Cricetulus griseus: one gene and its partners. The protein of the gene in region 1 purifies or fractionates together with the protein of each later gene. This does not show direct contact. Links are inferred from orthologs where the notes say so. Each region holds a gene or a part of one and is shown in the gene's direction. Other genes may lie near its edges. The genes, in order: Slc7a1, heparan sulfate 2-O-sulfotransferase 1, Stx4 and Stx12.

Region 1 (7,015 bases):
AGTGCTTCCCCACCAGCTTGTGTAAACAGTTTACACATATGTGCAAACAGGAGCTACCTGCACATATGTGCATATGAACATACACACACTGGTGCATGCAAACACACACACATACATTCACATGCATGCACACACACACAATGCTTTCCCTCCAGCTTGTGTAAACAGTTTACACATACACATACTTGTACATGCACACACACACACACACACACACACACACACACACACTCAAACATGCACACATATCTGCATCCACACACATATACTACACACACACACTGCTTCCCCAATGGCTTGTATAAACAGGAACTGTTTGCTAATGCTTGGCCTTAGCCAGGAATGACTGAAGACATAAATGCAAGAGCTCCCTCATGGATGTTGCCCCAGGATCTCATGATCCTTTCTGTTAGGTGCCCCTAGTCTGTTCATTGGTCTTACACCTACTCTGTGAGTTTTGTGAAGCACTGAGTCCCAGAGCCCTGGGTGCCACTGGGTGGTAAGCATTGTGGAGGGAGTGGTTCTTGTTGAAGGCAGACACCTCTCCTTGGCCCTGCCTGGGTCTGCTGAGGCCTTGTTTGCCAGTGACATACGTTTACTCACGTGTTTTTCCCTTTTCTCACCCAGTCTCCTAGGCTCCATGTTTCCCATGCCCCGAGTAATCTACGCCATGGCTGAAGACGGACTACTGTTTAAATATTTGGCCAGAGTCAACAAGAGGACCAAAACACCAGTAATTGCTACACTGACCTCAGGCGCCATTGCTGGTAAAGATTGGAATTTATTTCCGGTGCTACTGTTTGAACAACTAAGCCAGCATTCCTAGCGAGGCATCTTGAAGTTTACCTGTCTGTGGGAACTGTAAAAAAGCCACAACTCATCCATTAGAGCTTTTGAAACTATAGCTTTTTACACTCAGAACCTGGTTCACGAAAATATAACTGCATGAAAAAAAATATTTTTAGGTTTGGCTTACGTGATGGGTGTTTTGCCTGTATGTATGTGCACCCAGTGTGTGATTGGTACCCATGGAAGCCAGAAGAGGGCATCAGATCCCCCAGAACTGGAGTTACAGATGGTTGTGAGCCAACACGTGTGTGCTGGGAACTGAACTTGGGTCCTTTACAAGAGCAGCCAATTCTCTTAACTGCTGAGCTGTCTCTCCACTCCTAGATAACTGTACATTTGATGAAAGACAGTGAAGGCAGGTTTATAGATGATGGGTTGGAGTTATTCTTAGAGTTTAACTCTTACAGTGGTCTCTATAGGCAAAGCTCACAAACACACAACCATTCCTTCAAAGCCACCCATCATCCCTGCCTAGTGTTTCCCTGTGTAGAATTTGGGAGGGTGGCCTCTTGCGTAATCCAAGCCAAAAGTACTCTTGGGTAAACACCAGCAAGTCTAGTGTCCATGCATATTAGCTTATTGATTGCCTGGAGCATGAATGTCCCTCACAGTCATTTTTTTGTAAACATGCACCATCTCTCTCCCAGGAGGCATATACAGGGTTTTGCTGTTTGCCCTCAAATAGTGGTAGACCCAGAGCCAAGGAAGTTTTCTTTTGCCATCATCATGTTCATCCCCAAGAGTGCAGCTGTGGTAGATGAACTAGGTGCACTAAAGGATCTCTAAGCCATCTGATGGGGGTAAGGGGGGTGACCCAGAGGAAGCCCATGTGCATACTTCCTCGTGTCCAGCTGGAGAAGTGGTGGCCTGAAGAGGCCCAGGGTCACACCCAGGAAGGCTGAGCTGCTCTTGATTTCTGTTTGTGTTCATGCCAGAAGCAGTTCCTTGCAGGATCCGACTAGCACCGGGTCTGTTTTTGATCTTTCAGGACACAGGGTACCATACAATTTGTATCTCAGTGTCTTATCAAATGGCTACTAGTAAGACAATGGACCATTTCTACCTACCTACCTACCTATCTATCTACCTATCTATCTTTGGTTTTTTGAGACAGTATCTCTGGGTAGCCTTGACTGTTTTGGAACTCACTATGTAGACCAGGCTGGCCTCAAACTCACAGAGATCTGCCTGCCTCTGCCCCCCTGAGGACTGGGATTAAAGGCATGCCTCACCACCACCTGGCTGACAATTGGCCATCTTAAATGAGCAAATGATTTATTAGTATTCATACCTTAATAAAGTATTTTAGTTTTGTGACTATTATTATATTTAAAAAAAGAAAACAAATTTAAAATTGTTTACCAATAGTTCTGCATGTAATTACCGTAGTAGGTTCTGGGGCATCAGGTCACTGCAGTGACCGAGGACTTTGTTAAGTTCCCACATAATTTGATGTAGTTTCCTTGCTGTGCTCACAAAAGGAGGTCAAACCATGACCTTTTGAGTGGCTGTAAAGGACACACCACTTGCCAAACCAAGAGTTGGTCCATTTTTTCCCCTTTTGGTAGGATTGATATTTGGTGTTCTAAAATCACCTGGCATGGTAGCAGTTTTTTTTTTTTTTTTTTTTTTTTTTTTTTTTTTTTTTTTTTTTTTTTTTTTTCTGTGAGCACGAATGGAGGCGAGGGTGGCATGTGCTATCCAAAAGTGTTCCAATTATATGAAAGGCCTCCACTGCTTCTCTAATCTAACTATTTATTATCAATTTAAATTTGCTTGGCTTGCATTGATCTGGTGGGGCTTCAAAGATGTGTGTGGGAAATGGATAGTTCCATGATTCTGCTTTAATTTGTATTGATTTACATATTATTTGAAAATATCCCAAGTAGATCCTGCCAAATTATTTTTTAAATGGGAAAACTGACATAATATACTGACATAAATAGAACACGGGGAATTTTTAAATAAACACGTGTTTATCATGCCACTAGATCTTGTACGTACTAGGCCAGTGCTCTACCACAGGCCCAGACCTCCCAAGCATGTATGTTCAGTTCTTCTAAAGACCGAAGTCGGGGGGGGGGGGCAGGATGGCAAGGTTTGTTTGGTGACAGGGATAGTACCATTTAGGAATACCTTTGAAACTTTTCACACGTGAGGATAACTGTTTTCCCTACTTACCTGCCTAGAGTAGGAGCTCCTGTGAGTCTTTCCCGAGCAGGCTTCCCATCACCATCATCTCCTGATACACGTATCTTTAGATGATACTCTAGGAGGCCAGACACTGTGGTCTGCCCTCTTCAAGGCTGGGTACCTAGAACTTAGTGACTGGCTGGCTGAATGGATGGATGGTGGATGGAGGAGGAGTGGGTGGTTGAAGGAAGGATGCGTGGATGGATGACTGAAGCATGGATGGATGGAACAAGGATGGATAGATGCATGTGTGAATAGACAAGATGGGGCGCGTTCAGGGTGGTATCGCCATAGACGCATGTATGAATAGAGCATGGATGGAGGGAGGGAGGAATGGTGGATGGGAGAATGGATGGAGGATGGCTGCAGAAACGGAAGAAAGACATGAGCAGATGGAGGATGGGTGGATGGATGGATGGAATACAGATGAATGACCATAGATGGAGGAAGATGAATGGGTGGAAGATAGATGTACAGATGGTCGTGTGGATGTGGCTGTCTGTGAGTCACCAACATGTGGCAGAAGTCACAGTAGGGTCAGAGTTGCAAGAATCTGATGCAGATCCTGGCTCTCCCATCTACTAGCTGTATATCCTTAGCTCAACTTGCTACTTACAGTATTCATCTGTAGTGTTGAGTTGGCTTGAAAAATTATTCCCCCCCAAAAAAAAAAGTATTCTCTATGAAAATTTCTTTTTTTTTTTTAAGATTTATTTATTTATTTATTGTTTTGTGTGCCGTGTTCTGTCTGCGTGCATCCCTGCAGGCCAGAAGAGGGCACCAGATCTCATTACAGATGGTTGTGAGCCACCATGTGGTTGCTGGGAATTGATCTCAGGTCCTCTGGAAGAGCAGCCAGTGCTCTTAACCACTGAGCCATCTCTCCAGCCGGCTCTATGCAAATTTCAATGTTAATTATTTCTACTGTTTCTTGAGCCTGTCTTCACCTGAGCAATGTCTGTCTCCTGGACAATGGCTGAGTGAGGGTGGGACTGGGAGTACCCCGAATTACAGATGTGCGGTCGGGTAGAGGGCCACTTGCAAGCTGATGTCTGTCTTCTCCCCAGCTGTGATGGCCTTCCTCTTTGAATTGAAGGACCTGGTAGACCTCATGTCCATTGGCACGCTCCTGGCTTACTCTTTGGTGGCTGCCTGTGTATTAGTCTTAAGGTATGTATGGCTTTCCTGGGTTCCACGACAAATGTTAAACAACCCTATTATGGCTGGGTTTTTTTTTTTTAACCGTTCTGACAAATGGTTTGTAAGTTTATAAGGTACAATTTTCAGGCCATATTAGCTCTGTTGGGGGCTGCTGAGTAGAAGGTGGGGTGAAGTCAGTGGTTGCCCCCTCCCCCGTTTTGTCGTCTTGTCTCATCCATGTGCTACCCCCCTCCCAGCACACGAGCTGCTTCCTCCTATCATGTCCTCTGTTTCTCTGGCTAAATGTCCTCAACAGCAGCATTGATCTGAATCTGGGATATGAAATTTAGAAGGCTTAGGGCAATGACTTCAGTTGGCCCAATTGTTGGGAAAAATGATCCTGGGGGCTAGCCCTAGATTACATCAGAAGAATCTAAGGCCTATGACCCAGGTCCATGTGGTGCTTCTGTAGCCTGCTTTTACTGGTGCTTGGGAGTGAACCCCATAACATGGTGTGGTGTAGCTTTTGGACACTGGGTTCTAATTGTGTATCTTTTAAAGGCTTTAGGGCTACAGGAGCTTGGTGCCATAGTGTCTCACCCACCCAGAAGTGCCCAAAGCACATGCCTGGGCTCCAACTTTGCTTGGACATGGAGGAACAGAGAGCTCTAAGGCCTTTGTCATGAGAACATGTATTCACAATGACTGTTGTTTGTCACCTGTTATTGGGGTTTTTTACTCTTTACTCTTTTGGCTTTTGAGGGGGCCTGCTACCCAGCTCCCAGATAAATCATACATGGAGTCTTATTCTTTCTTATAAATGCCCAGCCTTAGCTTGGCTTATTTCTAGCCAGTTTTTCTTAAATTATCCCATCTACCTTTTGCCTCTGGGCTTTTCTCTCTCTCTCTCTCTCTCTCTCTCTCTCTCTCTCTCTCTCTCTCTCTCTCTCTCTCTCTCTCTTTTTTTTTTTTTTTACTTCTGTATATCTTACTTTCACCCCGTGGGTGGCTGGCCCCTTCTTTTCTGGCTCCTTGATCTCTCATCCTTTCTTTTTTTCTCATCCTATTTATTCTCTCTGCTTGCCAGTCTGCTTATCCTTTCTCCTGCCTAGCTATTGGCAGGTCAGCTCTTTATTAGACCTATCAGATATTTCAGACAGGCAAAGTAACACAGCTCACAGAGTTAAACAAATGCAACATAAAAGAATGCAACAAATCTTTGCATCATTAAGCAAATGTTCCACAGCATAAAAACAAATGTAACACATCTTAAAATAGTATTCTATAACAGTCACCCAGCCAGAGCTTCCCTCTTTTCAGGTGTTTCTCCTTAGAAGGCAAATAGCTTCATTTTTTTTCAGCATTCAATTTCCATAAAACTTGGACTGGTTCCTACTAGAGATGTTGCAGGCTCAGCTCAGGCAAGTTCATGGACCTCTGTTCAATTCTAGAGGCATAACACCAACATGTTCTTTGAGTTCTACTTTCTTGATTGGCCAAATTACCATGCATTTGTGGGTCTATGGGAAGAACAGTTAGCTATCTCGCTGCATACTCTTCTTGTGCTTGGAATTGATCATCTGCAAAACAAGTCAAAAGGTATTCTGCTTTTAAAAGCTAGTGAGAACCTGTCCAGTTGGAAAGGCAAGGAACCACGTCATATGAATGTATGCTTCATCTGTGGGTAGCTTGTGTCTTGGAAGTCATGCCACAGGCATGGCTGGCTCTGTAGTTACTCCAAGGCACTTAGAGGTTTAGAATAGCTTTGTCCAGTTAGGTCATGCAGACAGAGCTTACCCATCCACCAGTAGTCAATGACTCTCCAGCTTCCTACAGCAAGTGGAATGCCAGTGTTAGCACTTCTTGACTTTGTACTCCCTTTGAGCTCTGGGCAACAAGGGTTTGGTGAGAAGTGCCCTAACATTGTCATATTCAAGGGCTACTGCTACTTCTTTGATCAAGAGAACCTCTCTGGGACATTTCATTGGACCACTTCCCAATGGTTTCCCTATTCTACCCAAAGTGAAGACACCACGGTTGAGTATTGGCCTGAGAAGGAAGGACTTGATCTGTCCTTTGTTCTTGTATTGCTAAATACTGCACCATTCTACCCATTTATGTCCAGTGTCTCAGGCACCTTATCTTTAAAGGCTCATTGAGAACTTAATCTGATCTTTGTTTTTGTGGGGGAGGGGTATAGACAGTGTTCCTCTGTGTGACGACAGCCTTGGCTGCCTGAAACTCACTTGTAGACCAGCCTGGCCTCAAAGTCACAAGAGGTCCACCTCCCTCTGCCTCCTGAGTGCTGGGATTAAAGGTGTGTGTGTGTCTTTTCTTTATTTATTTTTCTTTTTGACTTTTTTTTGAGACAGGGTTGTAATCCTAGCCGTCCTGGAACTGGCTCTGTAGACCAGGCTGGCCTTGAACTCACTGAGACCCACCTTCAATTTTATTTATATTTGTTTTTATTATTTTATTATATTTATTACTTTACGTGTATTTTGCCTGCATGTCCATCTGTTCACTTTGTGTGCTGGTGCTTGAGGAGGTGATGAGCCTCCATGTGGGGCTGGGAATGGAAACAAGAGCAGATAACAGCACTCATGCTGTGGGCATGTCTTTACAGGTACCAGCCCGAGCAACCTAACCTGGTATACCAGATGGCCAGAACCACCGATGAGTTGGATCAAGTTGACCAGAATGAGCTGGTCAGCGCCAGTGACTCCCAGACAGGCTTTTTACCAGTAGCCGAGAAGTTTTCTCTGAAAACGGTACTCTCACCCAAGAATCTGGAACCATCCAAATTCTCAGGGCTCATTGTGAATGTATCAGC
Region 2 (6,811 bases), on another chromosome or scaffold:
ATGTTGAGTATGTTTAGTGACTTACTTGTCTTCTGGTTTGCACTCCAGATTGGCAGAGGCATGAAGAAGCAGAGTCCTTCTGTTGAACTATTGGGAGCATGCCATGAGCTAGGGCCTGTTAGAAATGGTCACGGAGTCAGAAGCTTTCTGGCCTGTTGTACATAGTTCCTTGAGCCATAGTCTTCATGAAAATTGGGGTATAACAGATAAGTGGAGACATAACATGTATTTGCTAGCTTCCCTGCCTCCCACCCCCAATAAAGCCACTTTTTAAAAGTAGGCTTCAGGCAGGAAATCTAAATCAGACTGTCTTAGTTTCTTGTCCTATTGCTGTGACGAAATACCCCGATGAAAGCGACTTAAGGAAGAAAGGATTTACTTGACTCACAGCTCCAGACCAGAGCCCCTCACTTCAGGGGAGTCAAGGTAGCAGAGACTGAAAGTATCACTCCAGTGTGTCTTTAGTCAACTGCAGAGAATAATTAACTAATGCATGCATACTTGCTTTCAGCTCACTTTCTCTATTTTCAGTAAATAGTATTTTCCCCTTCCCTTTCTTCTCTCGAGACCCTCCATGTACCTGTCCCCTCCTTTTCAGCATAGTCAACAGGCTTTCTTATGTCACTCATGCAACAGAGGGAATCTCCCCTAAGAATAGCCGCAGGCCAACCTGATTTAAACACACCTTTAATCACAGCACTTGGGAGGCAGAAGCAGGAAGATCTCTATGAATTCAAGGCAGCCTGATCTACATAGTGAGATCCTGTTTGTTTCTATTGCTGTAAAAAGATATCATGACCATGGAAACTCTTACAAAGAAAAACATTTAATTGGGGAAAAGGCAAAAAGCAGCCACATTCTTCACCAAAATATCATAATCTCTAGGCCACACATTAATATTCTTCTCTGAAACCTCTTGAGTCTGCCCCCAACCGTTCAAATCACTCTCAGCACCACTTGTCCTCTGCAGCTCTTACTAGAGTGGCCCATTAGGCAGCACTTAAAGCGTTCAACTGCTTTATCCAAAGTCCACATTCCTCCAAACAAAAGCATGGTCAGGCCTATCACAGCAATATCCCAGTACCTGATACCAGTTTCTGTCTTAGCATTTCTACTGCTGTGAAGAGACACCATGACCAAAGCAACTCTTACAAAGGAAAACATTTAGTTGAGGCTGGCTTACCTCTAAATTTCAGAGGTTTAGTCCATTATCATCCACACCCTTACACAGTCCGTCTAGCGAAATGCCTAAGTAATGGAATGGTCAAGGCCAAAGTTTTCCACTTATACAAATTAAACACACATAAGGAAATTTCTGGGAAATGCTGAAGTGCTATCTCACCTGTGTCATGAAATAAGTGACCTTGTCTCTATGTTCACCAGTGCTGTGTCTTTAGTACTTCTGTCAGCCCCAATCACAATCTTCAAAACAACACTACACACACACTAACTCTGCTAACAGTTTGTGTAGCACCATAGCGTGTTCTGAAATGCATTTGCACGTGGCATGACCTTTTCTAGCCCCCACCATAGTTGAGCAGGAATGGAATATAAAAACTACATGAAGCTTGTTATGGAACTGAACATGACACTTGCAGATGAGTGTGTCCCCTTCCTGAGAGCTGGTTATTAACAAGGCAGTGTATAGAACTCTGTTTCAGAAAGTTTCCAACCTGCCATGCTGGTCCCACAACCGCTTCAGCCCCAAATAAACATACAGACACTATATTAATTAAACTGTTGGCCGATGGCTAGGGCTTCTTATTGGCTAGCTCTGTCTTAATTATTAACCCATTTTTATTAATCTATGTATTTCCATGTGGTCTTATCTTACCTGAGAAGGGTCTGGACCTCTAACTCCTTTGGCAGCTCACATGGCAAGTGACTCTGCCTACCCTTCCCAGAATTCTCATCTCCTAGTCCCACCTATCTCCCTGCCTCTATTGGCCACAGTGTTTTATTCATCAACCAATAAGAGAAACATATACACAGAAGGACATTCTCCCATCAGAACTCAAAAGACAGGAAATGACTTTCAGCCCGAGGAGTAACTGGAAGGCTGGACCTCATGAAACCTTCACTGGTAGAATCAGTCTACCGAGGAAGAACATTCCAGTAAAGTTACAGAGATTTGGGGTACTGGGATATACTTAAGAGCCCATAGAACTGATGTGGCATGGGTGGATGCTCCTGGTCAAAAGCAAGCAGGACTAGTGTGTTGAGAGCCTACCAGGAAGCACTCCTGGAAGGTGGGACAGCGAGTGGGGCCATGTTGGTGTTTCTCACCAGACGTCATAAACAACAGCTGCAGAGGATGTATGGATGGTCGTCAGCTGCCATGTGGGTGATGGGAACTGAACAGGTCCTCTGCAAGAACAAGTGCTCTTAACCACTGATCCATCTGCCCCACCCCCATATATCCACAGGTCTCATCCCACCCACTTGTACTCATTTACTTGGTAACTTGTTACATTAAAAGTTTTGCCCTGGAGAGGTGAGTCAGTGGGTAAAGCTCTTGCCATGCCATGCAAGGACCTGAGTCCAGTTTCCTAGACCCCGTGTGAAGGTGGGCACAGTAGTGCACATCTGTGCTTGCAGTGTCCTGTGGCGAGATGGGAACTGAAGACAGAACATTACCGAAATCTCGTGACAGGTAGCCTAACACTCTCAGAGATGAGCAAAAGACCCTGTCTCCAACAAGACGTAAGGCAAGGACTGACAGCCAGGGTTGTTCTGACCTTCATACAGACACCATGGCATGTGCGCACCTACACTCACAAACAGGCATACAGAGATTAAAAATCTGTCTCTTACCCTGAGGCGTGGTTTATGGCTAATGGTGCTCTTTTTATCTTTGCTGCAGACCTTTGATGAATGTGTGGCTGAGGGCGGCTCAGACTGTGCTCCGGAGAAGCTCTGGCTCCAGATCCCATTTTTCTGTGGCCACAGCTCAGAATGCTGGTAGGAATACAAACTTCACTATGGTGGTAGTCTTCCATCTCTCTGCAATCCATATCTCACGGGCAGGAATGTGGTAGTCAGGACTAGGATTTTACTTCTAATAAAAAATTTCCCCAAGAACATTCTGTGTTCAAGTTTTTAAAATAATTTTACATTATTTATTTATTGTGGTCAGACATTTGCTTTAAGGCATTAAGGGACTCTGCACATGCTTGGCAAGGGCTGGGTCACTGGACTGCCTACCCAACTCTTCAGCCAGCCTGAACTTGAGATTCTCCTGCCTTGGGTTCTCTGGTACAGGTATGCACTGCCATATCTGGCTATTCATTCATTTTGATAGGAAATGCAGAAGCAGAAAATCCATTCAAAATTAGTATTTTTCTCAAAGTGAAATCCAAAGTCGTTCTTGATCATTTGAGCCATATAGGTTGACATAAAGTCGAGGACCTGCTTGTAGACTGCTGCAAAGCATCATGTAGAAAAACAATTGAGGAGAGAAGGAATGGGGGTGAAGGGACGGAGAGGGAGAGGGACTTACATGTGAAACAAGCCTGTTCCCTAACTTGAATTAATAATAATAATAATAATAATAATAATAATAATTTAAAAAGAATATCAAAAAAAGAAAAACAATTGAAAGCATTGGAAGATGTCTTTTCAGGTTTTAGCCATTTCCTCTGAAAAGGAACCCAGTCCTATGGCCCAAATTATGTTTGAGCACGTGTTCTTTGTAAATAAAGCTTGATTAGAACACAGCCACTATTGTGGGTGCATTTACTGTCTGCTGAGATAGCAGAGGGGAATTATTGTTATTTAAACCGTCTAGTCTACAAGGCCTATAATATTTACTCTTTGCCTCTTACAGAAGAAGTTTGCCAGGCCCTGCTTTTGAATAGTAAAAAATATTGCTTAGTTGAGTTTTAATTAGAGAGGGTAATCCATGTATTTCACACACAATGAAATATTTTGGGGAGACCTTAGAAACCAACCAATCCCCATCCTCCTCCCCTCCAAGGTTTTTTAGAGATAGAATTTCTTGTAGCGCAGGCTGACCTTGAACTCTTGACCCTCCTGTCTCCACCTCCAAGTGCCAAGACACTAGTTATGTACTGTCACACCCAGTTTCTTGGTCTGTGATTTTGCCTTTCCTTTAATAGTTGAGAAGACAAGAAGAAGTGAAGCCAACACAGGGTCACACTGGCACTTAAAATGCAGAGCTAGAGCAAAGCAGAAAGAATGTCAGTGCTAATTAGATCCCAGAGGTATAGTCTATTTAAGATCAGACCTGTTAATGCCTTAGCTGACACTGTAAACAGAAAGATTTCTAGTACAGCTATTTCTTACCTATTTTTTGTTTCTCCGCATGTCACGAAACACTAAAGCTTATGGAAAGAAAAGAAACAGAGCTTACAAATTAAGATAAACACTAAACAAAAATTGCTATGACTTTCCCATAGGGGCTCTCAGAATGAACAAAGTTTTGGAGTAGTTTTAAAACATGGATGCACACAGAAGTCAAAAAAGAGACTATATGATACAGATGTGTATATTTAAAGCTGTCCTTGAAGTCTGTTCTCATTGAGAACCTGTGGTAGCGTCTGAGTGGCTACATGTAGGGAGCAGAAGCTGGGGACGTGGAAGTAAGGAAGTTGGAAATGTTACGCCTTCGTAAGACGCCGCTGCAGGGGGGGTTGAAGCTGCGCTGAGCGCGTTCACCTCCCTGCTTCCTCCATAACACAGAGGGTCAGAAGCATGAGCACACTTAGCCTGTTTCACAGCCCGTGTTCAATTCCTTTTGTGTGGTTTCAGGAATGTGGGAAGCAGATGGGCTATGGATCAAGCTAAGTATAACCTAATTAACGAGTACTTTCTGGTGGGAGTTACTGAGGAGCTGGAAGACTTCATCATGCTACTCGAGGCAGCTTTGCCCCGGTTTTTCCGGGGTGCTACAGACCTCTATCGTACAGGTATGGACAGGATAGGTTTCTTTCTAAAGCGTTTGTTTGTTTGTTTGTTTGTTTGTTTACAAGTTGACTGAGTAATAAACTAGACTATACTTCTAGACTGGTTCGATGGGAGTGCTAAACACAGGAACAGCCGTCGTGTGCTAAGTCTGCTGTAGTTTATCTGAAAGTGTCCTTCCAGACCTTTGTGAGTCAGTCCAACCCTGATGGTGTTTCATTTGTTTAAAAGCATGCCATCACTCGACTCTCCCTGAAGTTTACATCTGCCCCAAGTCCTCCATGACTGCAGCACATACAGGAAAGAGGCAGTGTCTGTGTGCTCTGCAACAATTATTTACTTTTCTTATTTTCCCATTGTAAGTAGGAAAGAAATCCCACCTGAGGAAAACCACAGAGAAGAAACTTCCCACCAAGCAAACCATCGCGAAGCTGCAGCAGTCTGACATTTGGAAAATGGAAAATGAGTTCTACGAGTTTGCACTAGAGCAGTTCCAGTTCATCAGAGCCCACGCTGTCCGTGAGAAAGATGGAGACCTCTACATCCTGGCCCAGAACTTTTTCTATGAAAAGATTTACCCGAAGTCGAACTGAGTGAAAGTGTGACCAGAGCAGTCTTGAACCTGGACTTGGCTGTGTTGTCACCGTTGTTCTCAGCTTCTGCACCTGTTCTGCTAATCGAGTCCAAGCCGAGCCAGTTCTTGTTGGGCCGAGTTGGGGAACAGACAGGAGTGTCAAGAAATTAGATGCTGAATGGGATGTCAGTGTTCTAAGGAGTTCTTAAGTGTGATGAATTGTTATTTCTTTTGTTACTTTGTTTTCATTTTCATGATAGCTATAATCTCCCAGTGAGGAGAAATCTCATGTCACTTAAATTACACACATGGAGGTTTAATCAGAAGGCTGAATACCATTTCAGAAGAGGTTCTGTGATTCTCTTGCTTTTGATGAAGCATTTTTTTCACCTCTCTTTGGATGCAGATGAGTCTGTATGGCACTTGGAGTTTTGTGTTGCACACCCCTACTGGATAGTGCTAATAACTATTTGCCAGTAGCTGATTTGTTTATGTGGATCATGTCTCACAGAGTTTATTGGAATGTTTGATCATGTTTTCTCAGAACTGTTTTTGCTGTAGTTGAGTTTGCCCATATTTATGTAGGCTTTATTTTATTTTTTGGATGATCATTAGTGTTAAAGAAATCAACTGAAAACCATGAATAATACTGTAAAAAGACAAAACAGTTAAAAGCAGTATTCCTGATTTCTGTCTCCCCAGTATCTAATATTGGGGTGGTATTTCTAAGAATGTTGACAACATTATCTGAGGCTTTCTTAAGGATTTCCACACATTCATATAAAAAAAATGAGTTTAGTATTTGTTTCTCCATGGCTTCTCTATAACCCAGTACACTGAAGTATCGGTGACTGCATATGGCAACTCCATCAGTGAGCTGTGATGGTAGGATTTTCCTACCTCTGTACTTTTACCTGTAGACTATTTTTACTACGGTGCTTTATAATGTGTTTTAAAGCATTGCATTTACAAAAGAAAAATGCTGTAAATATTGCATATTTTATGTATTTGGACCAAAAAGTTACAAGTCAGTAGATAAAAAGTGGTTTTGCACCAATTTTATTATGTCGAGTAAATTCATCAGACTATTCTTGTATTTCTCATTTAACTTTGCTGTTATGATGTCTCTGACATGAACTAACCTAGCCTTTCAATTTTGAGAGAGAGCATTACTCAGCCTGAGGCAATAGTGATAATGGAAAGGGTACTAGACAGTCTAAACATTTGATCTCTGGTTTCAGCTCTCTACCTTCCAGTGGTGTGGCGTCAGGCAAGTCACTTAACCTCTCTTTGCCTCGGTTTCCTCATCTTGAG
Region 3 (7,709 bases), on another chromosome or scaffold:
GGCTCGGAAGGAAGATCCTGGACAATCGGCAGAGTGGAATTTCTGGCACAGACTTTGGGCTACTGAAATCCTCAGTGGAACAGTCTCCACCATCATCACCATCTAGCAATAGCAAGCACACTCGACAGCCACAGTGGGCACCATTCTATTCTTGTTTCTTATTTAATACTTATCAAACACTAGGAGTTTAATGCTATTGCTCTCCTTTCCTTTTCAGATGGGAACTAAAGCAGAGAGGTTAAATGACTTGCCTCATAGAGCTGAATGAGCAGGAATCCCAGCCCAGGTCATCTGGTGCTGGGGTTGGGAGGATCAGACCTGAGGCAGTGAGGACAGGACAGGCTGCTAGCCTCAGGACCATGGACAGCTTGAGTTTCAGACAGAACGGAAGAAGTATATACTCTACTAATACTTACACACCCAAGACCCACTATATAAACCTGGGACTCAAGGCTACAAAGGGCCTAGGCGGAACACAGCATTCAGCGGAGGCAAACATCACTCCACTTGGGGGCTGTCAGCATCATGAGACCTTGACAGTCAGAAAATACTGAGGTCCCAGTGTCCTAAACCTTAAGTTATCATCTTAATACCTGTGATCACACCCAGAGACCACAAATGAAATAATAGTGAATATTATAAGCCTGAGATGCTTTAATAGAAGCACCAAAAACTCCACACTGCCGCTGGAGGCCAAGAGGCTGGGAAATGGGCAGGTATGATTGAAAGGCAGAGAGAGAGAGAGAGAGAGAGAGAGATAGAGAGAGAGAGAGAGAGAGAGAGAGGCAGAACTCACAAGCTCACAGCAGCAAAGCTCACATAAGAGCTTTAACAGTCTACAAGACCTACCACATCTTTCCTAACCTTTCTTGATGTCCTCCAATCCTTACCCTAAGCAAGGAAGAAACTGTCAGACCAAGATGTCAAGAGGGAAAATTGCATCTCTGAGGGAAACAGTGAGACATTCTCGATCACATACAGGGCTAGGAGACAGGCTAAGGTCACCTCCCGACTCGCCCCCCCTTGTAATACTAACAGAGAGTCAGAGGGAGGGGATGAGTAGGAGGGAAGTAGCAATTGAACAGGGAGGCAGCAGTTAATAGGCAAAGATACCCTTGCAGAATTCATGTTTTGGTTTGTTTTGGGGGGTTCCCCAGGGGCATGGACAAACTGAAGACTTCCATTTGGGGGCTGACAGCATCATGACACCTTGAAAGTCAGGCCCCACAGTAGGCACTTTTCTCCACATTATTTTCAGGGGACCACACTAGGCAGAGCTGGGCCTCCTGAGAAGCCCACCAACACCGCATCCCTCTGCGGGGTGGTCAGGGCCATATTATCCTCACCCCCTCATTTCCAAATCCAGGAGTTTCTAAAGGGAAAAGCATCACAGCCCCACAAGTGCATGGGGTTTTAGTCTGTTGGCTTCTGATGTGTCACCAGCCCCTAAAACATATCTGCTCTATAGTATGTGCCCAATAAATATGTCCAGAGAGACAAACCTGGGGAAATGGGACGGTGAGAGAAGCCACAGGCTTTAGTTTCAGATACATGAAAGGCTCCTATTCGGATCAAGGCTGTGAGGGCCTATTATGTAGCAAGCTCTGAATTTGGTGCTGGGGACTCCGTAAAAGAAAAGCAAGTCATGCTAGGACTTCAGGGCTGCGGAGGTAACAATACATTCCTCTCAGTCTGAGCTGCTCTGAAATCTGAAGGTGGCGAGCTCAGCGGGACTGCAGTGCTCACACAGGGCGTAGGCCGCCCACCTGTCAGAGGCTGTGCCAGGAGGACGCAGGGTGTGTAGGGGGAAGAGTTCCACCTTGGCTGAGGTCACTTCCCACCCCCAGATTGTCTGCCTACAAAACCCTGCAATCCTCTGACGCTGTAGCCTCCGATCTCATTATGTTCTGACTCTCAAGGTCTCGTGATACTGACAGCCCCCAAATTTAAGTCTTCAGATCGCCCACGCCCTAGGGCCCCAAATTAAAACAGAAAGTGAAGTCTACAAGGGTCTCCTCTGTAGGTGGCTGAGAGCTGTCGGTGTACCCCTCCCCACCTTCTGCAAGGGGTACAGCTCAGACTCAGGGGTATCGGGGACGTCGCGAGACTGAAGTCCGAGACGTCGCTGACAGCGCCGGGACACGTGACCGGCTGTCGGGCGTGCAGCCGGCGGAGCGGGGCCAGGTCTGTCACGTGATGAGGGGGCGCCATGGGGTGATGTGAGATACGAGGCTCTCAGACTGCGTGCAAATGACGCATCCCCAACCCTTTGGGCAACTAGATTCCAGTCCCAATATGAGATGTTCCGGTAGAAAGGGGGGGGGGGCGGACGGGCTCTCGATCCAGGCGGCCTCGCTTCCGTTCGGCCGCGACTGCTTCCGACCTCCGCCTTTTCCCCCTAGCGAGGAAGAGACAAGACCTCGTGCGCATGCTCCGAGTCATCCTCCCGAGGGGCGGGGCTGCGGCTGCGGGAGCAGGATGGGGGGAAGAGAAGGGAATTCCAACCTGTAGAACTTTGGGGGTCCTATGGTCGGGTTCTCCCCGGCGACTGTGCATGGTGAAAGGGGCGGGACCTCTGGGGGCTCGTGGGGGCGTTGGGGGTTCGCAGGGTGAGGAAGGGGGTGTCAAGTGAGAGAGAGCTCGTGCAGGACTTCCAAACTTAGAACCTTGAGGCCCTCGGGGCTCAGGTCCAGGGACCGGGCGCTCGGGCCGCCATGCGCGACAGGACCCATGAGCTGAGGCAGGTGAGGAGCTGGGGCCCGGCGGGCGCGCAGGACTGAGGACTCCTGGTTTGGGGTCCGGGAGGGGTGGCTGACGGCCAGGAAGGAAAATCCCGGAAGCCCATAGCTCCTGCGGGGCGAGAACCGCGGCGAGCGAGTGGTGCCAATGACTCCGGCCCTGGCAGGGGGACAACAGCTCGGACGACGAAGATGAGGCTCGAGTCGCGCTGGTGGTGCACCCAGGTACCGCCCGGCTGGGCAGCCCAGATGACGAGTTCTTCCAGAAGGTAAGGCCCGGAGGACCGAGCAGTAGGGAGGACTACAGTACCACTTATGTCTTCAGTTCCCTTGGTGATCCTCTCTAGGTCCAGGCAATTCGGCAAACTATGGCCAAACTGGAGAGTAAAGTCCGGGAGTTGGAGAAACAGCAGGTCACCATTCTGGCCACGCCCCTTCCCGAGGAGAGTAAGCGAAACCCGGGTTCACGTACGCCAGCCCGGTGGATTATGGGGGATGTAGTCCTATATAGATGTTGGCCGGGGGTGGGGTTGGTTTTGGTTTGTGGTGGAGGCTGTGGTTTGGAAGTGTTGGCCTTCTCTCATTTAGGCATGAAGCAGGGCCTGCAGAACCTGCGCGAGGAGATCAAACAGCTGGGGAGAGAGGTCCGGGCACAGCTAAAAGGTGAATGAACTTCAAGGGCCTCAGCCAGATCATCCCCAGTGATTCAGCCCTGATGCTCGTGTATCTGGGGAGTCAAGTGATATATCAGGTCACAGAGCAGGTCTGGGTCTAGGATCTCTGCCCTGTGGCATCTAAGCCTTGGTACTTTGCATATATTACATGCTGGCCTCTCAGATTCCTTTATTACTATTTTTACATCTAAATTCAAAACTACTTGCTGCTACAGTTCTTGAAGCCCAGTGTGTGTTCTTTGAGCAGATGGATGAGGGTTTCTTAGGAGGCTCCTTCACTCTTGTGGGAACCCACTGATGTAATACAAAGAAAAACTTCTCTTAGAAGATCAGAATTAGCCTCCTCCTCCCCCTCCCTCACCTCTTCCTCCTATGTAGACCAGGCTGGCCTCAAATTCACAGAGATCCATCTTTCCCTGCCTTTTGAATGCTGAGATTAAAGGCCTGCCGTAACCAGGTCCAGTTGGCTGATCTCACCCCCTTCTTCCTTCTTTCTTCTTCCTCCTAGTTCCTTCTTTTTTCCTCCTCCTCCCCCTTCCTCCTCCATCATGTGTCACTACTAAAATATATCCCTGCTCATAAGTCACTTTGTAAAAAAAAATCCTACGAAGACAAGAACTTCCTTATTATGTGGCTGGAATGTAGATGTGGCCCTGTATTCTGGTACCCAAACAATTTTTTTTGATTCATTTAAAATTTTTTATTATGTATTTTCAATTTTTTAATTATTTTTTGAGACTCAGTAGGTAGATCAGGCTAGCCCAGACAGAAATCAGTTAGCCTCCCAGCCAATTTTTAGAAGTCTCAGGGCAAGCTTTTCTTTCCATCAACCCTCGTATTTCTCCCACAGCCATAGAGCCTCAGAAGGAAGAAGCTGATGAGAATTATAACTCAGTCAACACAAGAATGAAAAAAACCCAGGTTGGTTTCATTTTCCTAGAACTAGGACATTTCATCAAGTGTTTCTTAGATTACTAACTGGTGACTGGGCAACCCTTACAGACCGTTGAATCTGGGATCTCTGTCCTGATGAATTTCCTTTATGCTTATTTGGTCTAGGTAGAGGATCCCAGTCACAAAATTCTCAATCCATTATAACACCATGCCACCGCCATTCAAAGAGAATTTGCTATGTCAGACATGACTCTGTCCTGGCTATGAGAGACATATTTTCCCAAAACTGAAATGGGGAATTTGGACTGAAAAGGGAACAAAGATATTTCTCATGTAGGACTTGGTCACTAATAGCTTTGTTCAGGGAAGAAGAGAGAGAAATAAAAAATGGTAATTAAGAGCACTGGTTGCTCTTCCAGAGGCCCCAGATTTAATTTCCAGCACCCACATGGCAGCTCACAACCATCTGTAACTCCAGTTCCAGGGGATCTAACACTCTCACATAGACATACATGTAGGTAAAACACCAATGCACATAAATCAAAGAATAATAATAAGAGCCAAGTGTGAAGGCAGAGGCAGGCGGATCTCTGAGTTCGAGGCCAGCCTGATCTACAGAGAAACCCTGTCTTGAATAACCAAAAATAAATAAATAAATGATAAATAAATGTAAGTTAAAATGACAAGCAAGGACATCCTTGGCCCCATAGATAGAATTTAAGAGATGGCGAGGGGCTGCAAGACGGATCAGTGGGTAAAGGTGTCTGCTTCTAAGCTTTATAACCCAATTCAGCCCCAGGTCCATGGGGTGCAGAGAACTGACTCCTGGGAGTTGTCCTCTGATTTCTACACATGTGCCATGGCACACATGCCCTGCCCCGTGCATACACAGTAAAGACATATATTAACGTATGATGTAGGGACTGGAGAGATGGCTTAGCACACACCACTTTTGCAGAGGAACTGAATTCAGCTGTTCCCAGCTGTGACCTATGTCAGGTGGCTCACAACCATCTGTAACTCCAGCTCTAGGAAGAGGCCCTCCACCTCCTTGGATACCACAGATGAAGGCACATAATAAAATATATTTTTAAGAACATTTGTAGCCGGGCGTTGGTGGCGCACGCCTTTAATCCCAGCACTCGGGAGGCATAGGCAGGCGGATCTCTGTGAGTTCCAGGCCAGCCTGGTCTCCAGAGTGAGTGCCAGGATAGGCTCCAAAGCTACACAGAGAAACCCTGTCTTGAAAAACAAAAACAAACAAACAAACAAAAAGAACATTTGTAAAAGGAAGAAGAGGAATTCTGGTGGAGAAGAAGTCATGCCAGGCAGTGTCTGAGTGAGGAGATTTCACGTGACTTGACTGGGCCCCTCTGGTGCATGGTGAAGAGTGCTTGGGATTTATGGAGGTCAGGTTTGGAGTAGGTAGGCATCTTGAAAGGGCGCAGGAGTGGGGATTCAGGAGAATAAGCTTATTTAAGGAATCAGGAGAGGGATGGGGGATAATGCACCATAAGAGTGGACCTGTGGTAGCTGTGGTATGAGAACATCTTGTTGTTCCATGCCAGTAGCGTGGTGCCATTGCAGTCCATGAGTGTACCTGCAGTCTAAACAGCAATGCTGCTCTTCAGAAGCTTTCAGCAGATGCACACTGAGTACCAGTGTGCCAGACTTTTAAACTAAAAATTCTACCGTTAAGATGTTTACATTCTAGTGAGGCAAGACAGTCACCAAATAAGTGTTTTACTTTTTGTTTATTTGAGTCAAGATCTCACTGCGCTGGAACTCACTATGCTGAGGTATCCTTGATTCTGCCTTCCAGTGCTGTAATTAAAGGAGTTGGCCACCCCACCAGGCTTACAAAACAGCATAAAAAGAGGGAAAGTGCTGGCCCGGGGAAGGAGTGTAATTTAAATGAGGGGAAGAGTAGAGCTGAGTGGTAGAGTTTGTGCTTAGCACGCATGAAGCCCTGGTGTCAATCACTAATACTCAGAAAGTATGTGTTTGTTTCTGTGAGTGTGAGTGTGTGTGTGTGTGTGTGTGTGTGTGTGTGTGTGTGCGTGTGTGCACATGCACACCACGGTACTCATGTTGAGGTCTAAGGAATAGGCTTTCCTCCTCCTAGGTGGGGTCTGTCTGCGTCTGCTGCTGCACTAGGAGTCTCTTACCTCTGCCTCCCATCTCACTTGAGGCATGCTGGGATTACAGTGGCACACCACCGCATCTGGCTTTTTACCTGGGTCTGGGATCATTGAAAGTCGGTTGTCATGCTTTCGCAACTAGCATTTTTACAGGCTCAGCCATCTCCCTAGTCCCACCCACCCCCAAATAAATTTAAACAATAAGTAAGGGCTGGGGGTGTCAATCAGTTATTATAGTGCTTGGCTAGCATACACAGGGCCCCAGGTTAGATTTCCACTACTACGTAATGCAGCTCCCTATTGCTGCACACCTATAATAATAGTAGGCCAGCCTGGGCTACATGGGACCCAGTCTCAAACCAAAGAATAGTAGTAATGATTAATAAGATGAAAATCAAAAACTCATAAATAGGTGAAGCCAGACATGGTGCACACCTGTAATCCAGCGTTCAGAAGGTAGACACAGAGGCTCAAGGAGTTCAAGGTCGCCATCAATGAGCTTAAGACCAGCCTGAGCTACCTGAGACCGTGTCTCAAAAACAACTAACCAACAAAAAATAAGGTGGGGCTAGAGACGTGGTTCGGCAGTTAAAAGTAACAGCTGTCTTTCCAGAGAACCTGGGTTCAGTTCTTAGTGCCCATGTGGTGGCTCATAGCCTTCTATAACTCCAGTTCAGGGGTCTGACACCTTCTGGCTTCCATAGGCATCAGGCACATGTCGAGCACTGATGGACATGAAGGCGAAATACCCATACACATAATAGTACAAATTTAAAAAATAAATGATTGAAGACTTAAAGGTGCTTGTGGGGGTGAGCATTCTAGGCAGAAGGAACAGTGTGCTAAGGCCGATGGGAGCATGTTTTGTTGAGAAGAAACTACTAGGGAAGAAGGAAAGAGAAGGAGGTAGTGAGGAGTGGGTGGGAAGAGGCAAAGTCATAGCATAATGGGGGCCCTGGTTAGACCTTTGGCTTTCATTCGGGCAAGTAAAGGAGGCTGCCAAGGTCCCAAGGCGATTATAGCCTCAGCACCTCATGGTAGTAGTTCCTGCTGATGCCCAGCTAGACTTTCTGTTCTTAGCACGGGGTCCTGTCCCAGCAATTTGTCGAGCTCATCAACAAGTGCAACTCAATGCAGTCGGAATACCGAGAGAAGAATGTGGAGCGCATTCGGAGGCAGCTGAAGATCAGTGAGTTGGGATACCTGGCCCTCAGGGCTTGGGAGCATGGTGCAGCTCTGAACTGGCCTTTCCTGTTACAGCC
Region 4 (7,765 bases), on another chromosome or scaffold:
AGTGTTCTACTTCTGTCCTTAATGTGACATCCCTATGTTATTGGTGACATTGAGTTTAATATTAATGCATTCAAACTGGTACATTTTAGTACATTATATTAGGAATCTCTAATGCATTAAAGTTGTCCAATAAGACATAGGATCTGACACAAAACTATGAATCATAAGAATTACTAGATTTTTTTCTCTGTGTTTTGTTTTTTGTTTTTCGAGACAGGGTTTCTCTGTGGCTTTGCAGGCTGTCCTGGAACTCACTCTGTAGACCAGGCTGGTCTCAAAGTCACATACAGAGATCCGCCTGCCTCTGCCTCCCAAGTGCTGGGATTAAAGGTGTGTGCCACCAATGCCCAGCTTCTCTGTGTTGTTGTGTGCACATAAATACACAGGTTCATGAGCTAGTATGTGCACATTCAGAGGATGTAGAATTTCTTCTCTTGCTCTCTGCATTAATGCCTTGAGCTGGAATTTCTCACTGAATTGGAATTTCTCTGCTATGCCTAGGTTGGCTGAGTAGTGAAATCTGAGGACCCATATGTATCTGCTCCCCAGTGCCTGGAGACAGGCATGTGCAGCTATGCCCAGCTTTTCTTTTCTTTTAAATTTTTTATTTTGAGATTTGGTTTTTGTTTTGGTTTGTGTGTGTGTGTTTGTGTGTGTGTGTGTGTGTGTGTGTGTGTGGTGTGTGTGTGTGTGTGTGTGTGTGTAGCCCTGACTGTCCTGGAACTAGTTCTATAGTTCAGGCTGTTCTCGAACTCATAGAGATCCACCTGCCTCTGCCTCCAGAGGGCTGAGATCAAAGCCTCCATGTGCCCCCCCTCTTTTAAAGACACTGTCTTGTTATGCATTCCTGACTGGCCTAGAACTCTCTGCCTCTGAAGGGCTGGGCTTATAGGTTTGTTCTTCCATGCCCAGCAAATACCCTGTCTTCTGCACGCTAGGTTAGTGCTCTGCCACTGATTAACTTTCACAGGCCTAATCTGTCCCTTTGTATACAAGGGGAAATACTGTCATAAGTGAATTCCAACTAAAAATAGAGATAGCCTTGCTTTAAAATCTCTAGAGGTGGGGGGTGGAGAGAATGGCCCAGGAGTTAAGAGCACTGGCTGCTCTTCCAGAGAACCTGGGTTCAATTCCCAGCACCCACATGGCAGCTCACAACTATCTATAACTCAAGTTCCAAGGGATCTGACACCTTCACATCAATGCACATAACATAAAGCTAAATAAATTATTTTAAAAATCCCTAGAGGTGGAGACAGGCTCATTCACACGTTTGGAATCCCTGCTGCTGCTCACAAGCTGCTTCCTCTCTTCTCGTTTCTGAGACTATAGCATGCTGGAGTTGGTGGGGTGGAGAATGCAGGCAACTCCTGGCCCCTTCATGTCTGGTCCTCAGGTCCCTTCAGTGCAAAGTCCCGTCCATGTTCCCCCTTTCACCACATGCCACCCACAAAATGAAGTTCTATGAAATCATTTTGCAGCTAGATTCCAAAGTGCTCAAATTTTCAGGAGTTATCTAAGAAATTGTTTGGGATCTCGGAGGCAGGTAGATATAATCTATGAGTTTGAGGGCAGCCTGGTCTACATAAGGAGTTCCAGGCTAGCCAAGGCTACCTGTTAGAAATGAGCAGACTTTTTGGAAGGAACTTCCACAGATAATGAACTTGGGATAACAGCAATGATGTTCTAAAAAAACATTTAAAAATTAATTGCATTTTAGTGTGTGTGTGTGTGTGTGTGTGTGTGTGTGTGTGTGTGTGTGTGTGTGCGTGTGCCTGTGTCTGTGTTGCTTGGCACAACAGGTAGAGGAGACCAGAGGACAATTTGCTGGTGTCTCCTTCTCCATGTAGACCCATGGGATTGAACTCAGGTCTTCAGGTTTGACAGCAAGTGCCTTTGTCCTGCTAAGCTATCTGTCTCCCCAGCCCTGGGAATGAGTTTTATGGAAGTTGTGAGATAGAGTTAGCTTAGTGTTTGGGTTTCCAATTAAACATCAAAGTGATCAATACTCTTTGGTCTTAATTTTCTCACCTGTAAAAGGGAAAATAATGCTTGCTTTTCTATGTTATATTACATTTAAAAAAATCTACTTTAGAGCCTGGAGAGATGGCTTAGCCGTTGGGAGAACTGACTGCCTTTACAAAGGATCCAGGTTCAATTCCCAGCACCCACTGTCTGTAACTCCAGTTCCAGGGAACCTAACACCCTCACCCATACATATATGCAGGCAAAATACCGATGCACATAAAACAAAAATAAATTAATTTTTTTTTCGTTTTTCGAGACAGGGTTTCTCTGTGGCTTTGGAGTCTGTCCTGGAACTAGCTCTTGTAGACCAGGCTGGTCTCGAACTCACAGAGATCTGCCTGCCTCTGCCTCCCAAGTGCTGGGATTAAAGGCGTGCGCCACCAATGCCCGGCTAAAAAAAAATTAATTTTTAAAATCTACTTTATAGATAAAAATGAGATGCTTCCTTGCTGTGAAGTGTTTATGAACCAGTGACCTAAAGTGAGGATTCACACACAGTATGTGCCCAACAAATGTTACTAGTTTATTGCTTAAATTAGGATTGGAGGGAGGAATAAAAGTAGTTTGCAATCCGTAAGAGTTGCTAATTGGCTACAGATCTGAAGCTCAAGATTGCTTAATTTCCCATATTTGAGTCTGGGTTCTCAGAACAGAACAGAATAGGAAGTAGGGTTGAGGAAATCTCATACACTTTTATGCAAATCGAAAATTCTTGCATGCTGTCAGCGGACTCTGGGGAGACACAAGATGACTGGGAAAACGTATTCAATGGGCTCCCAGCTATTTGATGTCATTTGCCCTGTCTAGCATCCCCCAAATCTGGAGGGACCAGGGATGAACTTTTCCCATAACCTTTTGAATCAGGAAGCCCTTTCCCCCCTTTCACACCATGGGAGTTGGGCAGTCATCTGCTACAGCAGGAGGGGCTCTGTGGTAGTGGAGGTTAGAGAAGGCTTCCCAGTTTTTGTAGGTGTGGTGTGCACCTTGTAAGTTGGTGGGCTGTCAATCAAATGCGACCCGGCGGGCAACACCTATCTCATGACTGAATTCCGCAGGAAGGGAATGTTATTGACAGTGTTCCAGATTCCCTTGAAGTAAGCAAGCATGGAGTACACCATGTTGGCCGTATACTTCCGCAGTAATTTTATCCTTGTCAGAAGTTTAGGTGTTGGACAGTTTTCACCATAGAATCCTGTCCGGGTACAATCGCATTTGTACCGGTCCGATCCCACGCTCATGCATTCACCTCGGTTTTGACACGGGTTGGAAAAGCAAAGATTTGCAGGGTGGCTAAGCGCCAATGCTGCGCCCAGCAGCAGGATGCGGACCGGCATCTAGGCGGGCGGCACGTGGCCGAGCGCGGGGCTCTGCGGGGACACGCTCTGCCAGCAGTTTGAAAACTCTCAAGTGACAGCGGCGCACGCGCACCACGGGAGCGGGGGGTGGGGTGGGGAGGGGCAGAGCGTGCGCGTGCGCGTGCGCATTGTCAGTGGGCGGGGTCAGTGCGCACGCAGTCGCCGCTCCTTTCCCCCCCGCCCCCCGCCCTTTCTCTTCCCGGTTTTCCTCTCAGCTGCGGAGCCTGGCTACTGGCAGCTTCCGGTAGGAGCGCCGCGAAGCGCGACCCGGTCTCTGCTCGTTGTCGATGTCCTACGGTCCCTTAGACATGTATCGGAATCCCGGGCCCTCGGGGCCCCAGCTCCGGGACTTCAACAGCATCATCCAGACGTGCAGTGGCAACATCCAGCGGATCAGTCAAGCCAGTGAGCGAGGGGACCCAGCTGGGAGCGGGGGGCCGCGGGGGGCGACCCGAGGGACAGGCCTGGCTGAGGTCGCCACGACGCGGAGCCCGGTCAGGGTCGCAGCCAGGGCCACAGCCGAGGCCGTCGAGAGCCTCCACTCCGGGCGCGGCGAGCTGCCTTCGGCGGGTCGGTCAGGCTCGGGCCCTTCAGGTCCACACCCCTGTCTCAGGCATTGTGATTTCACGGTGTTGGGTCAACAGAGCCTACTTGACAGCCCGAGGGTGGGAGGGAGTGTGTGTCATCTCCAGGACTGTGAGCAACAGTCTTGACTTGACGCAGTGGTCAGCCGAATTTTCCCTGTCATCGCCGTCTCTCCACCCACCTCGCTTTCCACAGTTTGGATCAGGGGTTGCTTGCTGGTTAAGGGCTTTTAGGTTCACATTCTGCTCAGCGGTTGGGTCCTGGGACATCAGCAACTTTCAATTAAGGGAAGTGGCGAATGCGTGTGTTTGGGTGACTTAATACACTGTGCTTCCTGTAATTAATTTGGAAATCAGAGTCAGTGACTGGTATTTAAGGGGTGGGAGGACTCCTGTTTTGTTAGAGAATGCACCGGGAACATTTTAATTTACGTTGTCTTTTGTAGCAAAGAAGTATTTATTTTTTTAAATTTCAAGCATGATATTTCGTTTTTTGTCTCAGTTGAGCTATTCTTGTATAAATCTGATACACAGAGACGCTTGGCTACAACTACATACCGAGTGAGTATGTAGTCTGTAACTGCTTGCCTTAAAACTCACTCCTCACCATTAGAGTCTAAGATTGTAGCTGAGAGTCAAATACAGGCTGTTTCTAGAGATTCAGAATCAGCCTAGAGCCTTGTGAACAGAACAACAGAGGCAGCTTTACTTTAAAAAAAAAAAAAAAAAGGTGACAACTATCTGTGTTATTGTGTTTTAGAGAGCTTAACTATACTGTTAGGGTCAGTTCTGAATTACAATTATGTTCTACACTTTAAAGCAGTCACTTTGCATTGCTTTTATTTTACTTTTGAGACAGAATTTCTCTAGCTCTGTCTGTCATGGAATTCACTTATTTGTAGACCAGGCTGGCCTTGAACTCAGAGATCCACCTGCCTCTGCCTCCCGAGTGCTAGGATTAAAGTCGTGTACTACCAAACTCAGCTTGTCACTTTGCTTTTAAATCTAAATGTAAATTGTAGAATTTGAGAGGTAGGTTTCTGGTGAGGGTAGGGTTAGGAGTAGGTGTTTGGTGGTAGGAAGAACATTCAGCTTGTGAAACCCAGATATTAAAAACAACAATAATGTGATCGATGCTTAGAAAGTATGGTACTTTGTGTTCCAGTTCTCATTTGTCAAGGAGCAGGAATACAGGTTAGATCAGAAAATCCTGGTTCAAGGGGCAGGCAAGATGGCTCAGGGGTAAAGTGCTTGCTCTGCTTTGCTCCCCAGAGCCCATGTAAAGGTGGAAGGGACAAATTAACTGCACAAAGTTGTACTCTGCCCTCCACACTCTTACCTGCAAGTGTACTGTGTGTGTTTGCATTAGTTTGTATGTATGTTCCACATTTACACTCAAAAATAATAAATAAAAATTTTTAAAATTTTGTGCTGGGTGGTGGTGGCATACCCTCTAATCCCAGCACTCAGGAGGCAGAAGCAGGCAGATCTCTGTGAGTTTGAGGCCAGCCTGGTCTACAGAGTTACTTCCATGACAGCCAGGGACACAGAAAGAAATCTTGTCTTGAAAAACAAACAAAACAAAAAAAGAAAGAGAATTTTGTTTCAAGGCTGAAGTTTTCTCACTAAGATTAAACCTAATTTGAATATCTTTCTGTGGAATAGTCTGTATTTAAGTATTAAGCTGTATAGTAAGTGTAGGACCTGGCATAGATTCTTGAGAGCTTGTTTGGAGGTTCTAGCTGAGGAGTGCAGCTACTCGTATACCTTTGACCGAAGACTGTCCTCCTCTATGACCAAGCACGAAGGCAGCTTTGGAAGATGCACACATGGAGCAGTGAGGGAGCCAGTGATTCCTAGCCAGCCAGATCAGCCGAATCAACCCTGGTGATCAATGGGTGACAGATACAGCAGCCAGATCAGCCGAATCAACCCTGGTGATCAATGGGTGACAGATACAGCAGCCAGATCAGCCGAATCAACCCTGGTGATCAATGGGTGACAGATACAGCAGACAGATCAGCCGAATCAACCCTGGTGATCAATGGGTGACAGATACAGCAGCCAGATCAGCCGAATCAACCCTGGTGATCAATGGGTGACAGATACAGCAGCCAGATCAGCCGAATCAACCCTGGTGATCAATGGGTGACAGATGCAGCAGCCAGATCAGCCGAATCAACCCTGGTGATCAATGGGTGACAGATACAGCAGCCAGATCAGCCGAATCAACCCTGGTGATCAATGGGTGACAGATACAGCAGCCAGATCAGCCGAATCAACCCTGGTGATCAATGGGTGACAGATACAGCAGCCAGATCAGCCGAATCAACCCTGGTGATCAATGGGTGACAGATACAGCAGCCAGATCAGCCGAATCAACCCTGGTGATCAATGGGTGACAGATACAGCAGCCAGATCAGCCGAATCAACCCTGGTGATCAATGGGTGACAGATACAGCAGCCAGATCAGCCGAATCAACCCTGGTGATCAATGGGTGACAGATTAGCAGACAGATCGCCCTCACATCCTGGTATAGATTCTTTTAACAGCAAATTTGTGTTTACTTAAATTAGATTTGAAGCTGGGCATAGCAGTAATTGTAGTGTTTGGGAGTGTGAGGCTGGAGGATTGCCATTATTTAGGCAAATCTAAACTGCATAGTGAGTTCAAGGCAAGCCTGGGCCATATAATGAGACCCTTATCAAAAGGAAAACAGGAGAGGGAAGGGGAACAGGGAAAAGCCAAAACCTAGGTATGATGAGTCAGGGCTGTAACCCCATCTCTCAGGAGGCTGAGGCAAGACAATTTCCACGAGTTCAAGGCCAGCCTGAGCTATAGAGTGAGTCTTAAAACCAAACAATAAGAAAAGGTGTGTGTGTGGAAATAAAAGCAGTTTCCTTGTTGATAGATACTGATTTAGCTGTTGATCAGGCATTGGACTCAAGGGGATCATTAGAGTTGACAATTAATGTGTTACTTGCTACTGTTTAAGTACATAGTGTGCTAGGCAGTATGAAAAGTACATGTGATATCTTTTTTTTTTTTTTTTCCAAGACAGGGTTTCTCTGTGTCTGTCCTGGAACTCACTCTGTTGACCAGAATGGCCTTGAACTCAGAGATCTCGTAGCCTCTATCTCCTGAGTGATGAGATTAAAGGCTTTACCACTTCCACCTGGGGGGGGGTAATGTAATATTTTAATTCATGTTAACAGTCCTATGAAATCATTACAAATATCCCTGGCCTATGGATTAGGAAACTGACTGAGAAAGTTTAAAGAATTGCCTAGCTGAATGTGTATATGTCTGTATGTGTGTACTGGAAGCTGTGGTTTCTTGTAATATGTTCATCTTCCCTGCTAGATTGTTAGCTCGTTTGAGCTAGGAAACGTGGCTTATTCATCTTTATTTTTCTACTATTTACCTCAGTCCCAAGCATATATGATGGGTTTATTCATTCAGGGTGGACAAGCATTCTTTAAGCGCTTCTGTCCACTGGATAGAGCAAAGCATGAATTGCTGCCTGGTGCCGTGTGGATGTTTGCATGCATTTGCATGTGTTCATACAAGTGATATCAAGTAGTAGCAGGTGCTTGACAGAAAGAAAGCAGGTGTAGAGGGAAGGGAGAAGGGACAGATGATAAGCTGGCGAGGAAGGCCTCTCTGGGGGGAAGATGATTGAGTGAGCAGATACCAGAATGGAGGGAGGGAGCTTTGTGAGCAGCCGAGAAAGGTAATGTGTGCTGAGGGCAGGTCTAAGGACTTTGATGTGATAAAATGGCAGGGAGGCAGGTGTG

The links.
Region 2: the proteins of Slc7a1 (region 1) and heparan sulfate 2-O-sulfotransferase 1 purify together in Homo sapiens (co-immunoprecipitation; 3 studies listed by BioGRID and IntAct, counting the BioPlex papers as one, with this or other methods). This does not show direct contact. The link is inferred for Cricetulus griseus from reciprocal best matches to the Homo sapiens genes SLC7A1 and HS2ST1.
Region 3: the proteins of Slc7a1 (region 1) and Stx4 purify together in Homo sapiens (co-immunoprecipitation; 3 studies listed by BioGRID and IntAct, counting the BioPlex papers as one, with this or other methods). This does not show direct contact. The link is inferred for Cricetulus griseus from reciprocal best matches to the Homo sapiens genes SLC7A1 and STX4.
Region 4: the proteins of Slc7a1 (region 1) and Stx12 purify together in Homo sapiens (co-immunoprecipitation; 3 studies listed by BioGRID and IntAct, counting the BioPlex papers as one, with this or other methods). This does not show direct contact. The link is inferred for Cricetulus griseus from reciprocal best matches to the Homo sapiens genes SLC7A1 and STX12.

What each region holds. Positions count from the first base shown.
Region 1 is NC_048597.1:84,183,933-84,190,947, reverse strand, and holds part of Slc7a1 (high affinity cationic amino acid transporter 1), read left to right. Parts: intron 1-627; coding exon 628-767; intron 768-4,109; coding exon 4,110-4,212; intron 4,213-6,808; coding exon 6,809-7,015. UniProt on the Homo sapiens protein: High-affinity, low capacity permease involved in the transport of the cationic amino acids (arginine, lysine and ornithine) in non-hepatic tissues.
Region 2 is NW_023276806.1:14,689,529-14,696,339, forward strand, and holds part of heparan sulfate 2-O-sulfotransferase 1, read left to right. Parts: intron 1-2,863; coding exon 2,864-2,961; intron 2,962-4,770; coding exon 4,771-4,928; intron 4,929-5,286; coding exon 5,287-5,516; 3' UTR 5,517-6,811. UniProt on the Homo sapiens protein: Catalyzes the transfer of a sulfo group from 3'-phospho-5'-adenylyl sulfate (PAPS) to the 2-OH position of iduronic acid (IdoA) or glucuronic acid (GlcA) within the heparan sulfate (HS) chain and participates in HS biosynthesis.
Region 3 is NC_048596.1:72,930,345-72,938,053, reverse strand, and holds the start of Stx4 (syntaxin-4), read left to right. Parts: upstream 1-2,583; 5' UTR 2,584-2,714; coding exon 2,715-2,744; intron 2,745-2,905; coding exon 2,906-3,007; intron 3,008-3,063; exon of another isoform or gene 3,064-3,085; coding exon 3,086-3,185; intron 3,186-3,326; coding exon 3,327-3,401; intron 3,402-4,262; coding exon 4,263-4,333; intron 4,334-7,527; coding exon 7,528-7,636; intron 7,637-7,707; coding exon 7,708-7,709. UniProt on the Homo sapiens protein: Plasma membrane t-SNARE that mediates docking of transport vesicles. Necessary for the translocation of SLC2A4 from intracellular vesicles to the plasma membrane.
Region 4 is NC_048595.1:20,381,028-20,388,792, forward strand, and holds the start of Stx12 (syntaxin-12), read left to right. Parts: upstream 1-3,559; 5' UTR 3,560-3,670; coding exon 3,671-3,788; exon of another isoform or gene 3,789-4,302; intron 4,303-5,734; exon of another isoform or gene 5,735-5,975; intron 5,976-7,765. UniProt on the Homo sapiens protein: SNARE promoting fusion of transport vesicles with target membranes. Together with SNARE STX6, promotes movement of vesicles from endosomes to the cell membrane, and may therefore function in the endocytic recycling pathway.